Linked DNA regions of Mus musculus. The main gene of each other region encodes a partner of the protein of the gene in region 3 in a complex. Links are inferred from orthologs where the notes say so. Each region holds a gene or a part of one and is shown on either strand. Other genes may lie near its edges.

Evidence for each region. Proteins that work in one complex are often made in the same cells at the same time.
Region 1: the proteins of Flt1 (region 3) and Vegfb are in contact, whole or in part, in a crystal structure (PDB 2XAC), measured with the Homo sapiens proteins. The link is inferred for Mus musculus from reciprocal best matches to the Homo sapiens genes FLT1 and VEGFB. Residues at the interface, in NP_002010.2 of Homo sapiens: Tyr139, Glu141, Pro143, Phe172, Pro173, Tyr199, Ile202, Gly203, Leu204, Asn219, Leu221, Arg224, Thr226; in NP_003368.1 of Homo sapiens: Ser37, Trp38, Ile39, Tyr42, Thr43, Thr46, Cys47, Gln48, Pro83, Asp84, Asp85, Gly86, Leu87, Cys124, Arg125, Pro126.
Region 2: the proteins of Flt1 (region 3) and Vegfa are in contact, whole or in part, in a crystal structure (PDB 5T89), measured with the Homo sapiens proteins. The link is inferred for Mus musculus from reciprocal best matches to the Homo sapiens genes FLT1 and VEGFA. Residues at the interface, in NP_002010.2 of Homo sapiens: Ile142, Pro143, Ile145, His147, Leu221, His223, Gln225, Asn227, Asn259, Thr260, Arg261, Val262, Gln263, Met264, Ser277, Val278, Arg279, Arg280, Phe292, Tyr293, Ser315, Pro317; in NP_003367.4 of Homo sapiens: Phe242, Pro246, Asp247, Ile249, Glu250, Tyr251, Ile252, Lys254, Met287, Ile289, Lys290, Pro291, His292, Gln295, Ile297.

The regions. Positions count from the first base shown.
Region 1 is NC_000085.6:6,984,845-6,989,123, reverse strand, and holds the start of Vegfb (vascular endothelial growth factor B isoform Vegf-b167 precursor), read left to right. Parts: upstream 1-1,472; 5' UTR 1,473-1,712; coding exon 1,713-1,772; intron 1,773-2,307; coding exon 2,308-2,350; intron 2,351-2,637; coding exon 2,638-2,834; intron 2,835-3,029; coding exon 3,030-3,103; intron 3,104-3,283; coding exon 3,284-3,319; intron 3,320-3,527; coding exon of another isoform or gene 3,528-3,628; coding exon 3,629-3,763; intron 3,764-4,279. Other genes in the region: Dnajc4 (dnaJ homolog subfamily C member 4 isoform a precursor), read left to right, coding at 849-935, 1,016-1,127. UniProt on the Homo sapiens protein: Growth factor for endothelial cells. VEGF-B167 binds heparin and neuropilin-1 whereas the binding to neuropilin-1 of VEGF-B186 is regulated by proteolysis.
Region 2 is NC_000083.6:46,029,571-46,033,632, forward strand, and holds the start of Vegfa (vascular endothelial growth factor A), read right to left. Parts: upstream 2,808-4,062; 5' UTR 2,321-2,807; coding exon 1,721-2,320; intron 1-1,720.
Region 3 is NC_000071.6:147,565,510-147,569,017, forward strand, and holds part of Flt1 (vascular endothelial growth factor receptor 1 isoform 1 precursor), read right to left. Parts: intron 3,318-3,508; coding exon 3,233-3,317; intron 986-3,232; coding exon 891-985; intron 1-890. UniProt on the Homo sapiens protein: Tyrosine-protein kinase that acts as a cell-surface receptor for VEGFA, VEGFB and PGF, and plays an essential role in the development of embryonic vasculature, the regulation of angiogenesis, cell survival, cell migration, macrophage function, chemotaxis, and cancer cell invasion.

The DNA of each region.
Region 1 (4,279 bases), on a different chromosome or scaffold from region 3:
CACTGCGTAAATGAGGGCGGTTTTTCCTTTTTGTTTTGTTTTGATTTGTTTTGTTTTGTTTCTCTGAGACAGGGTTTCTTTGTGTAGAACTGGCTGACCTGGAACTCCCTGTGTAGACCAGGCTGGCCTCGAAGTCAGTGCACCATCACCACCAAGCAATTTTTTTTTTTTTTTTTTTTGCAAATTTTTTAAGTTCAGGGTCATCTTTGGTTACATATGGAGTTTGAGGCTAGCCTAGGCTACATTAAACTGTGTCTCAATATAGAAAGAAAGAGGGCCAGGCAGTGGTGGTGCACGCCTTTAATCCCAGCACTTGGGGGGCAAAGGCAGGTGGATTTCTGAGTTCGAGGCCAGCCTGGTCTACAAAGTGAGTTCCAGGACAGCCAAGGCTATACAGAGAAAACCTGTCTCAAAAAACCATAAAAAAAAATAAAAGAAAAGAAAGAAAGAGCGAGGAAGGACAAGTGCCGTATAACAGTGACAGTCCATGGTAGCTGCCAGGACCTCACCATACACTCGAATGCATGCTGTCATACCAGTTTTCTGTGGCATAGAAACCCAAAGGATGGAGCCCATTGTCCGTAGTATCTAGCAATGGAGATTACCTAAATATGCCCCCTTTCTAGTCTTCTGGGAGAGGCAACCTGATTTCAGAGCTGTTTCACCAACCTTCTTCACAGGACAGCCAGTGACTTAGGGTGCCACCTAGTTCTGGGACTTGGGCCACTTGGTGTCTGTTATAGAGAGAGATGTAAAGTTGTGTGAGAGATGCTAGAACCTGGTCAAGGACCAGGGTTTGAGGGACACCAGAGTTCGGAGACTCGGAGTTAACTGCAATTCCTTCACAGGAAGCTGGAGCAGGTGCATCGCAGCTTCATGGATGAAAAGGACCGGATCATTACAGCCATCTACAATGACACTCGGGCCAGGGCCAGGTCTGTCACTGCTCTGACTTTGCTTCCTGCTTCAGCACCACCCTCCAGGATGTCTGTCCTGATCCTGTTTTTCTTTCCAGGGCCAACAGAGCCAGGATTCAGCAGGAGCGCCAGCAGAGGCAGCAGCCTCGGGCAGAACCCTCCCTGCCTCCAGAAAGCTCCAGGATCATGCCCCAGGACACAAGCCCCTGAGAGGCTTAACTAAATGGGACCTTCATTGGTCCTCTCCCTGCTGCCTGTCCAGAACTACACGTGCAATAAACTCATTTTCAGACGCCTGTCCGATTCGGTCCTTCAGGTCACGCATCTCCTCACCCCTCCCCTCGTGAGGCAGCGACCCCCGGAGCTCGGCCTCCAGGGCGGTGTGTCCCCTTTCCCCTGCAGCGGCGGGAGGGGGCGTTTGGAGGGGACCGGCTCCGCCCCCGCCCCGCCTCCGCCCGCGGCCCGGTGGGGAGCGCGTGTTTAGGTCACATGAGCCTCTTGCCCGCCAGCCCCGGCCAGGCCCCCTGCCACCCCCCGCCGTCCCCGTTGCCCGCCGTCCCGGCCACCACCGCCGCCACTACAGGCCGCCTGCCTGTCTTGTTCCTCAGGCCGTCGCTGCGGCGCTGCGTTGCGCTGCCTGCGCCCAGGGCTCGGGAGGGGGCCGCGGAGGAGCCGCCCCCTGCGCCCCGCCCCGGGTCCCCGGGCCCGCGCCATGGGGCTCTGGCTGCCGCCGCCCCCCACGCCGCCGGGCTAGGGCCATGCGGGCGCTCCCGGCGCTCGCCCCCCGCGGGCACCATGAGCCCCCTGCTCCGTCGCCTGCTGCTTGTTGCACTGCTGCAGCTGGCTCGCACCCAGGTACGTGCGTCCGCGACATCCCGCTCGCTAGCTCGCCCGCCCGCCCGCGGTGCCCTCTCAAGGTTGGCGGAAGTGGGGAGGCGCCTGCTACCTCTGTCGAGGGGATCCTCAGTTCAAACCGGGAATATCCCTTAAGAGGTGCCCCTTGGCGAAGGCCCGCTAGTCCTAGCCCATGCCCCTGGGGCCACTCCCCCACCTCACCCCATCCCCTGGGCGGTTGTAGGGCGGAGCTGCCTCCGTGCCCTCCGAACCTCGTTTGTCTCCCACTATCCTGGCTCCTGACCTAAAACAAGCCCAGCGCTAAGGCTTGGGCTTTAGTACCATTCCCAGAGTATGCCTGGTGGGTCTTGGGCCAGGGAAAGTACCAGATGTCTGAGTATACAAGAAAAATTAGAACCAAGGTCTTGGGAACAGAATAAATCTGGAAAGGTGTCAGAAAGGCGCAGAAGCCTGACTCAAGGACGGAGCCCTTACATAGCCACAGGGCCAGCCCTTTTAGAGTGCATCTTGGGCCCAGGTATCTTCTTTCCCACAGGCCCCTGTGTCCCAGTTTGATGGCCCCAGCCACCAGAAGAAAGGTAATAATAGTTAACAATAACTTGCCACCAGCCAGTACTAAGAGGGGTTAGCACTTGCTCTGATTTCATATCCCTTATCTTGCGTGATCCCAACTCCTTTGGGCGATACCATTCCATAGAGGAAGAAACTGAGGCAGAGGGCTTAATCATTTCTTGAGAAACAAGGCAGAGAAAGACAGGTTTAAAAGATGGTTGGGGTGGTGGTGATAGGGTATCAGAGAGGCTACATGCTCAGAGGAGCTTCAGGAGACCTGATAAGAACTTAATCCATCTGGGTCTGCCCACAGTGGTGCCATGGATAGACGTTTATGCACGTGCCACATGCCAGCCCAGGGAGGTGGTGGTGCCTCTGAGCATGGAACTCATGGGCAATGTGGTCAAACAACTAGTGCCCAGCTGTGTGACTGTGCAGCGCTGTGGTGGCTGCTGCCCTGACGATGGCCTGGAATGTGTGCCCACTGGGCAACACCAAGTCCGAATGCAGGTACCAGGGCCTATGGGTCAGGTGTGTTGATGGGACAGTGATGTCCTATGGGCTGGGCCAACCCAGGGAGGGGCGTGCTGGAGGTGGGAATTTCTGGTCATTCTTTCTCTAGCCTATCTAGTATCCCCTTCCTCTGTCTTTTTCTGGCCCTGCCCCCCACCACTCACTGTCTCTTCCTCGTTCTCCTGAGCACAGATCCTCATGATCCAGTACCCGAGCAGTCAGCTGGGGGAGATGTCCCTGGAAGAACACAGCCAATGTGAATGCAGGTGCCAGCCAGGTCCAGGTCACAAAGTGTAGCATGGGGTGGGGGTACCAGGCATGGGCTTGTACCTTACTTAGTAGGGACCAGGTGACTGAGAGTAGAGCCAGAAGTAGTAGGCATGGATCCTGGGGCAAGAGTGCAGGAGGCTTGGGTTTCTTTAATCTTTCTCTCTCTCTCTTTTCAGACCAAAAAAAAAGGAGAGTGCTGTGAAGCCAGACAGGTGAGTTTTTGGGATTCTTGGTGCTGGTCCAGGAGAGAGAGCTCATGGGTTAGGGGGTGCACAAGTGAGCCAGGAGGCTGCAGCCCCTCTGCCTTCTTCTCTCACCCGACTCTCTTCCCTTTTATACTCCCCAAATCCACACACTCTGCTCTAACCCTAGCTCCTGGGAAGACTCTTCCCACCCCAGACGTGTCGCTTCTCCTCCTAGGGTTGCCATACCCCACCACCGTCCCCAGCCCCGCTCTGTTCCGGGCTGGGACTCTACCCCGGGAGCATCCTCCCCAGCTGACATCATCCATCCCACTCCAGCCCCAGGATCCTCTGCCCGCCTTGCACCCAGCGCCGTCAACGCCCTGACCCCCGGACCTGCCGCTGCCGCTGCAGACGCCGCCGCTTCCTCCATTGCCAAGGGCGGGGCTTAGAGCTCAACCCAGACACCTGTAGGTAAGGAGTCTGTGGGGTGGTGCTTGTGTGAGAAGGCCGCAAGGTTATGTCCTGGAGCAGGTCCAGATGAGCCTGCTAGTGGTGAAAAGACCAGGGATGGAGAAGCCAGCTGAATGTGTTAAGTCATTTACTGTGCATCTGCTGGTAACCAGATCATCAAAACCTCAGCTGAAGACTAGATGTGCAAGTCAGAGGGTGAGAGAGCTGATGCCACTCTTAGGAAAGGATGCTGAACCTGTGATAGGGGCACCAATCTAGCTAAGCAATCAACCATCTCCCGGAGTGGAACTAAAGAAGGCTTTTTCCAATCTGCAGAGCTTTATGTGATTGATATTTCTCCATTCTGCAGGCTCTGAGAGAGCAAAGATAATATGAGAGCCCCCATCTGCCTCTGCCTGGAGTGCTTACTTAAGTAACCCTTCTGTGCTCTATAGTGAGGCCAGGGGATGACTTATGGGCCAGGCCCTGGAGGCTTCTAGAGAGTATCAGAATAAAATGGGGTTCAAATGCTCAAGA
Region 2 (4,062 bases), on a different chromosome or scaffold from region 3:
GACATTCTCCTTATTCTTCTGTCTAGCCCCCCGTGGAGAAAGGGAACAGAAACTTTGAACCCCTTCCCAGATGGGGAGGTTCTAAGGCAGGGACTGGCCAGGTGTCCTTCTCTGGGGGCCTCTGAAGGTCACACTGTGGCCAAGCACTCCTATCCTCCTCCCCACATGGAGGCCCAGAACCAAGGCCTTTGTGCCAGGGTCTGGGGAACTCTGGATGGTGGCAGGGACACCTGCCCTTCTCCTTCCTTCTGCCTCCTTTCCAAGAAGGCTCTACAACTGAAGCTTCGTGGAAATAAGCATGAAAGGACCCTTTGGTAGGCAAGTTGGGTGGGCAAGTTCGCAGTTAAACCACCTGCTCTCTGGGCATCGGGCTTTGCCAGGACAAAGTGTGTGAGAGATACTGACTGACAAGGGATCCTGCCAAAGGTATGGGAAAGGGCTGGTTCCAGGCTGCCCCTGTCAGAGCAAATATCAAGTCATGTTTCCAAAGGGGGGGTGGGGGTGGGAAATGGGGTGATGTCAGTCCACCCTTCGTTGATCCACCCCCCCCCCCGCAAAAAAAAAAAAAAACCTGAAGCACAGCTGTGAGGGGAGGAGGGAGCACACCTTCACCAACTCAAAACTTAGGTCAGCGTTTCCACAAAGAACCCGAGGGTGGGCCTCAGCACCCCCACGCCTGACAGTCACCGTCCTTTTCCTGGACCCTGGGTCCAGGAAAGGTCCGATGAGTCTTCGCAAAGAAAAGGAAAATATAAAAGGGTGGGAAGGGCTTCTCTTTTTACACCAGGCAGGAAATGGGGAAAAGGGGGAAGGGGCGTCGGGAAATTCTTCCTAGCGCGAGGCACGGGTAGAAGTTGGGAACGGAGGAAAGAGGTATGGGAGTTTCTCCGGGTCCCGGAGCTGGGGATACCTCCAGAGGTCACCTTCCTCGCGGAGGGCCGGTGGGGGGAGGGGCGCCGCTCGTCGCCCGGGTCTCCGGGCTCCGGCAGCCGCGGCTCCGGGAACACGAGGCCGGCCAGGCCCGGGCTGATGTAATCGGCTCTGCGCCGCGCGCGCCCGGCCAGGCGGGGGAGGGCGGGCACCGCGCGGGACGCGAGCGGGGACGGGAGGGGGTGGCGCGGTGCAGGTGGCCCAACAAGCTAGAGCGGTGGGAGAGGGTCCCCGCAGCAATCCATCCTAAAACTTTCCCCAAACTCACTGCAAGGGCCTCAGAGACCCAAACGGCAGTGACAGCAAAGCCCCCTCGGTCGCCCGCGCCCTGCCCCCTCCACGATCTCTGCCCTCCCCGGGTCCAAGGTCCGAGCACCCCCAGGCATGCCCGCTGGGCTCCGGACTCCCGCCCCCTTTGCCCGGACTTCCAGTTCTCCGGGGACCCGCGACCCGGAGCAAACTTCTGCCGCCAGCCTCGGCACAAGCCCAGCCCCCTCAGCCTCCTCCTCTGGCTCCCGCCCTCCGCTGCTCGGCCCAGATCGTACGTGCGGTGACTCTGGTGGGTGGGCAGGGCCCGCGTGGGCGGCGAGACGATCCTGGCGCCCTCCCACCTAGCGCGCACCCCCTCCCCCTCCACGTACGACGACAGAGGGGGACGCCTCGCGCCCGGTGCCCAAGGACCCGCGTGGGGCACGAAGCCCCCCACGCGCGCGCTCGCACGCACGCACGTCCCCAAGCGGGAGAGGCGCTCGCCACGGCCCGGCGACAGCAGACGGGCACGACCGCTTACCTTGGCATGGTGGAGGTACAGCAGTAAAGCCAGGGTCCAGTGCACCCAAGAGAGCAGAAAGTTCATGGTTTCGGAGGCCCGTCCGGGGCCGGCGCGGCTCGCGCTCCCTCTCCGGCTCGGACTGCGAGGCAGCCCGCTCTCTTGCGCGCCTTGGCGGGCTCCTCTCCCTTCTGGAACCGAGGCCCGGGCCGGGGCCTGGGGCGCGCGCGCGGCTGGAGCACTGTCTGCGCACACGGCCGCCTCACCCGTCCATGAGCTCGGCTCCTGAGAGCCGAGCGCCCACTGCGGCCCCCTCTCCTCTTCCTTCTCTTCCTCCCCTCTCTTCTCGGGCCCCGGCTTCTCCAGGCCCGAGCTAGCACTTCTCCCAGCTCCGATCGGTTTGTCTCCTGCGGCGCAGACCACGGCTACTACGGAGCGAGAAGAGCCCAGAAGTTGGACGAAAAGTTTCCGTGCAATCCCGCGAGCCCCGACCCCCTCCACCCCGCCTCCGGGCGCGGGCTTCGGTTCCTCGCGGCTCGCCGCCGCGTCCACCGTCGGCAGCCCGCCGGCGAGGAGGTGGGCGCTGGGGCTGGGGGCGGTGTCTGTCTGTCTGTCCGTCAGCGCGACTGGTCCGATGCAAGATCCCAAGGGGGAGGGCTCACGCCGCGCTCTGGCGGTCACCCCCAAAAGCAGGTCAGTCACTTTGCCCCTGTCCCTCTCTCTGTTCGCTCGCCAGCGCGCTCTCTCTGACCGGTCTCTCTCTCTCTTCCTTGACTTCTCTCTGGAGCTCTTGATACCTCTTTCGTCTGCTGATTTCCACAATCCGAAGTGATTTGAGGGAGTGAAGAACCAACCTCCTCAAACCGTTGGCACGATTTAAGAGGGGAATAGGAAGCAAAAATAAATTAAAGCGTAAAACAATACAGTTTAAGAAAAAAAAATTAAGAGGTTTGAATATCAAATCCCAGAGCACAGACTCCCGGGCTGGTGAGTCCGCTGAATAGTCTGCCTTGTCGCTGCGTCTCGCGACAGAGCTCCGCTGCCGCCGCTCAGCTCGCCCCCAGTGCCGCGGCCTCGCTGCAGCTCGGCTGCCCCAAGCCTCTGCGCTTCTCACCGGTAACAGCGGTGGAAGAAAAAGAGGAAATCTAGCTCCACCCCCAAGCCCCGCCCAGACCCGCCCCGGGGAGCGGTCTGGTGGAGCCAGGCACCGCCTTTCGGGGAGCCCCTAGGCCACTACCGCGAAATGGAAAGCTAAACCCCTTACCAGGGTCCACGGCCTCAAAATTATCTGTGCACCCCTTCAAACTGGGCTCAGGAACACACTGGGAATCCCAGAGTATTGGGAATCAGGGGAGACAGGAGAGTGAGGTTATATGCGGACAGGGTCTAAGAACAATTCCCTTTCCCAGGAATATAGGAGAAAGTAGGGGTTGGAAGGCGGAGAGCTGGCAGGGACGTATGAGGATAGGGACAACTAGAGTGACCCCTGGCTTTCTCCCCCACCTCACAAACACACTACACACACACACACATGCATGCACGCACTCACATTGACACACGCGTCCTCCCTCACGCAGACTCGGCTCGCCCAAGTTCACGATCTCCCCGTGATGGCCGAGCGCCCCCTAGTGACTACATTATGCACACCCCAACTCTTGCTCAAATGGCACGGGTCTTGGAAAGGGGGTGAGAGTTGATTCTTGAGTGCGGCAGACTTTGAGCTCCCAAATAATTGCGTGTTTCTGACATACACACACACCCAAAAAGTTGCGTGTTTGACCTCGGAAGCATAACTCTAGGTTTATATGTGGGGAGGGGGTTACGGGGGGGGGGGAGTATGCTTATCTGAGCCCTTGTCTGATCTGCAGTCATCAGGAGCTAGGGCCCTGGGGTGAATGGGATCCTCTGGGAAGTTTCCAGAGAGGCTTCTCTGGAGAGAATTTGGCACCAAATTTGTGGCACTGAGAACGGGAAGTGGAGTTCTGGAGTTAGTCAGTGGCGGGGAGTGAGACGACCTGTGGAAACCCACGTATGCACTGTGTAGTCTGGCAGAGCCCTGAAGGAGAGACAGCTGGGCAGACAGAGGCCCTTGTTCCTCCTGATCTCTCTCTCTCACACACACACACACACACACACAGAGATGTTGCCAGGGAACTGAAGCCAGGGTGCCAATGGGGGCAGAAGCGGGCCAGGCCGGCATGGTGATTCAAACCTACCCTAGCATTCAGAAAGGTAGGTAGGCCAGCTGCCCAGCGCTGCCGCCAACCCTCGGAAGGGTGGGAGTAGAGGCTCCCTCAGTTCTAGCCTAGGCTTACGGTTCATCTTCTAAACAGAATTCAGGGGTGTACTCTGTCCTCCCATTC
Region 3 (3,508 bases):
GCCTACTTCTGAGACTGCATCACAGGGAAAAGGTAAATGTTTGCCCGGGAGTGCCCGTCTTTCCAGTGGCCTGCTGGAAAGTTTGAGTCCAGTCACAGCTCAATCAACTGCAGCACGTGGGCTGGCCATCTGGTTTGTTGTTGCGTGTATGGGTGTTTTGTTAGCCTGTATCTGTGTGTCCCCCATGTGTGCCTAGTGCTTCCAGACAGCAGAAGAAGGCGTCCCCTGCAAGAGCAGTCAGTGCTCTTCATTGCTAGACCCGAGAGCCAGGCATTTGAGCCAGGAAAGGTAGGTAGGAAGGTAAGTGGCCAGGCTTGGGTGGCCTTCGGCTTAGAGAACCACTGAGGTCATCTCTACCAGTCCACTGTACAGCCGGAGCCCAGCGATTCCGAAATGATGCAGAACGGAAGGAAGAACTGCCTGACGGATCAAGCCGCAGGGGATTGTGGAAACATCTACAAGTGAGACGTGGGTAATGGATGCAGCAGGATGCAGACAATCCTGATTGTAGAAGTTTGAATTCTCAGGGTTACAGACAGGACTGTGTTCCCTTGCTAGCCCAGGGACCAGAAACGGGACGTGTTGTCTCGTGAGTCTGTGGACACGTCCCAAATCGTCCTTCACAGCTGGACACACCTGGCTCCTTTCCATCAAGGCCCCATATTTCTCAGGCTCAGCCTGCCTGTTACACGAAGCCCCAGTCTTCCTTGTCACAGAGCCTGGGGTTCATATGCCTAATATTGTGACCCCTCTTCTCATCCCTGGGTGTGGGGTGGTTGCTTTTCTGCCATGCCTGAACACTAGGAGGCCAGGTAGCCTTAAACACCCACCCACCAAGCATCCCACCGTCCCTGGCATCCTCCTCCCCCACCCCTATCTGGCTTCCTTACTCTATCTTCATGGAGGCCTTGGGCTTGGTCTCAGTCCAGGTGAACCGCTTCAGCAAGGGGGAGCCCAGCAGAGTGCTAGTGTCCAGCTGATAGTCCTGTGGGATGAGGAGAGAAAGATGATTCATTTGCTTGGCCAAGCAGGCTCCACAGTGACTCTGGGAAGACACTGGGAGGCACCACTGAGGTGTGGCCCAGTGCTGCCCTCAGCAAACACAGCCCCCCGCCTGTCAGCACCGTGCCTGTTCCTTGTACTGACATCGGTGAGCTCGTCAGAGACAAAACAGTGCCTGTCGTGGGCAACTTTACCACCCTCCTTCCAGAAGGTGAAGAAAATAAGAAGGAATTGCAGGGTCTGAGGAGATGGCTCAGTGGATTAAGTGCTTACGGGGCACACATGAGAACCTCAGAGTTCTCATAAAAGGCAGGCATTGTGACTCAGGTCTGTCATCCCAGCCCTGGGGGCAGGAGGTGGGGATGGAGACAGGCACGGCCTGGAGCTTGCTGGCCAGCTACTCTAGCTCAACTGTGAGCTCCAGGTTCCTTGAAAGATCCTGTCTTTAAAAACAAACCAATTAATCAACCACAACCCCAGTAAGATGAACAATTGAGAAAGACACCCAACCTTGGCCAATGGATTCCACACATATATTGGGGGGCAGGCACATATGCACAGAGGTGCACACAGCATGCACGTAGACATACACACACATACATGCAATGGAAAATTGCATGTAACTGCTTGGTATTTTCCGTGTGAAATTTTCATGCAAATTATCATATGTTAAATTATCATATATGCAAATTATCATATATGTTAAAACAAAGCTTGGTGTCTGGCTATGAGTATACTATTGCACGTAAGATTTCAAGGAAATTATAGATGTGGTTGAATAATTTTCTCTTGGAGAGTCTCTGGCATCTGCCATGTGTACATATTTTAGATGCACATTTGCATATGCATGTTTGCATATGCATGCTTGCATATGCATATGCCCTATTTGCCATAGTTTCTAGGAGCTGTGGTCCAGTCATCCCCATCATGGAATTTTCCACCTGTCCTTCAGTACTGTTACTGCTGACGTGGAGGGGACTCCACACTTGGTTCCTCCCTCCCTCTGAGGCTCTTCCTGGGCCATTTGAACACCGGTGAGGACCCAGGGCGGCCAAGGTGCTGTCATCGTCTGCCCCACTTTAGGGGTAGCCTAACCCAGAGAAATTCTGAGGTTCACTCAGTGTTATTCCTGGAACTTGAACCACCCTACTGAGCCACAGCACAAAATTTCTAACTACATTATCATGGACTGCATCCTACCACTTACAATGGAGATGCCTTTATATTTTGAAGTCACTGTGACCCTTTATCGTGTGTGTCTATGAGGTTCAGGTCATATTTATCTTTTATGTGTGTGCACTTGCATGTATGTCTGGCACTTAAGACTAGGGCTTCCTGTCTCCTGGAACTAGACTTACAGGTGGCTGTGAGCCCCCATGTGGGTTCTGGGACCTGAACTGGGATCCTCTGAAAGAGCAGCCAGTGCTCTTAACTACTACAGTGTCTCTCCAGGCCCCAGCATTGAGGTTTTTCCTCTTGAATTACGGCACTGTGTTTGTCTCGGGAGCCCACTCCACCCTGTCCAAGGGCCTCTCCATAGCCTTGCTGACAGAAGCTTCTGGTTGGCCAGTTTACTCTGGTGTGCTCTGACCAGTGTGTCTGGGTGGGAACATGGCTGCTCAGCTGCAGAACCTTCCGCTAAAGGGGCCTAGGGCCTCCATGGACTTCTTTCAGACCTCTGCACGGGGTCTCTGTGGTATCACAAGGCCCAGCCGCTTGCACATCTTACATTCTTTTTTTTTTAAAGATTTATTTATTTATTATATGTAAGTACATTGTAGCTGTCTTCAGATATTCCAGAAGAGGAAGTCAGATCTCGTTACGGATGGTTGTGAGCCACCATGTGGTTGCTGGGATTTGAACTCTGGACCTTTGGAAGAGCAGTCGGGTGCTCTTACCCACTGAGCCATCTCACCAGCCCCACATCTTACATTCTTAAAGAAAGAAAGGTGTGTCCTGGATAGCCAGCCTACAAGAGAGCCCCGGAAACATACACAGGGACTACTCCTTCCCCTTCTGGAGAGCTGGTGGGACAGGACTCCTTCAAACTGTGGCATTCTCTTTCACATCAGCTCCTCATGATGAAGTCTGGCTGTCTATTCTTCCCCATCTTGGAACCTTGGCCTCTACTGATCGCTGGTCCTCCCTGGCCAAGCACTGCCTGGGGTGGCTGCTTCGACAGGGGGAGACTTCTGACAGAGAGCACTGTGTCCTTATGATCATGACTTACCTCAAACATGGAGGTGGAGTTCGGTGAAAGCTCCTCAAAGGTTTTGATTCTTTCCAGGCTCATGAATTTGAAAGCGTTTACATATCTGATGGAGACGTAGAAAGAATTATCAAGGTAGGAGAAAAAGGCTCACACCAATGAAATGAACCAGGACATTATAGAACCTGAGTGGACCCATCCACCTAGCAACCAAAATACCAACTGACTCAGACTCGCTCCTTCCTATACTATGACGTTACCTCAGGGTAACGTCACTTCCCCTATGTAGTGCTTCAG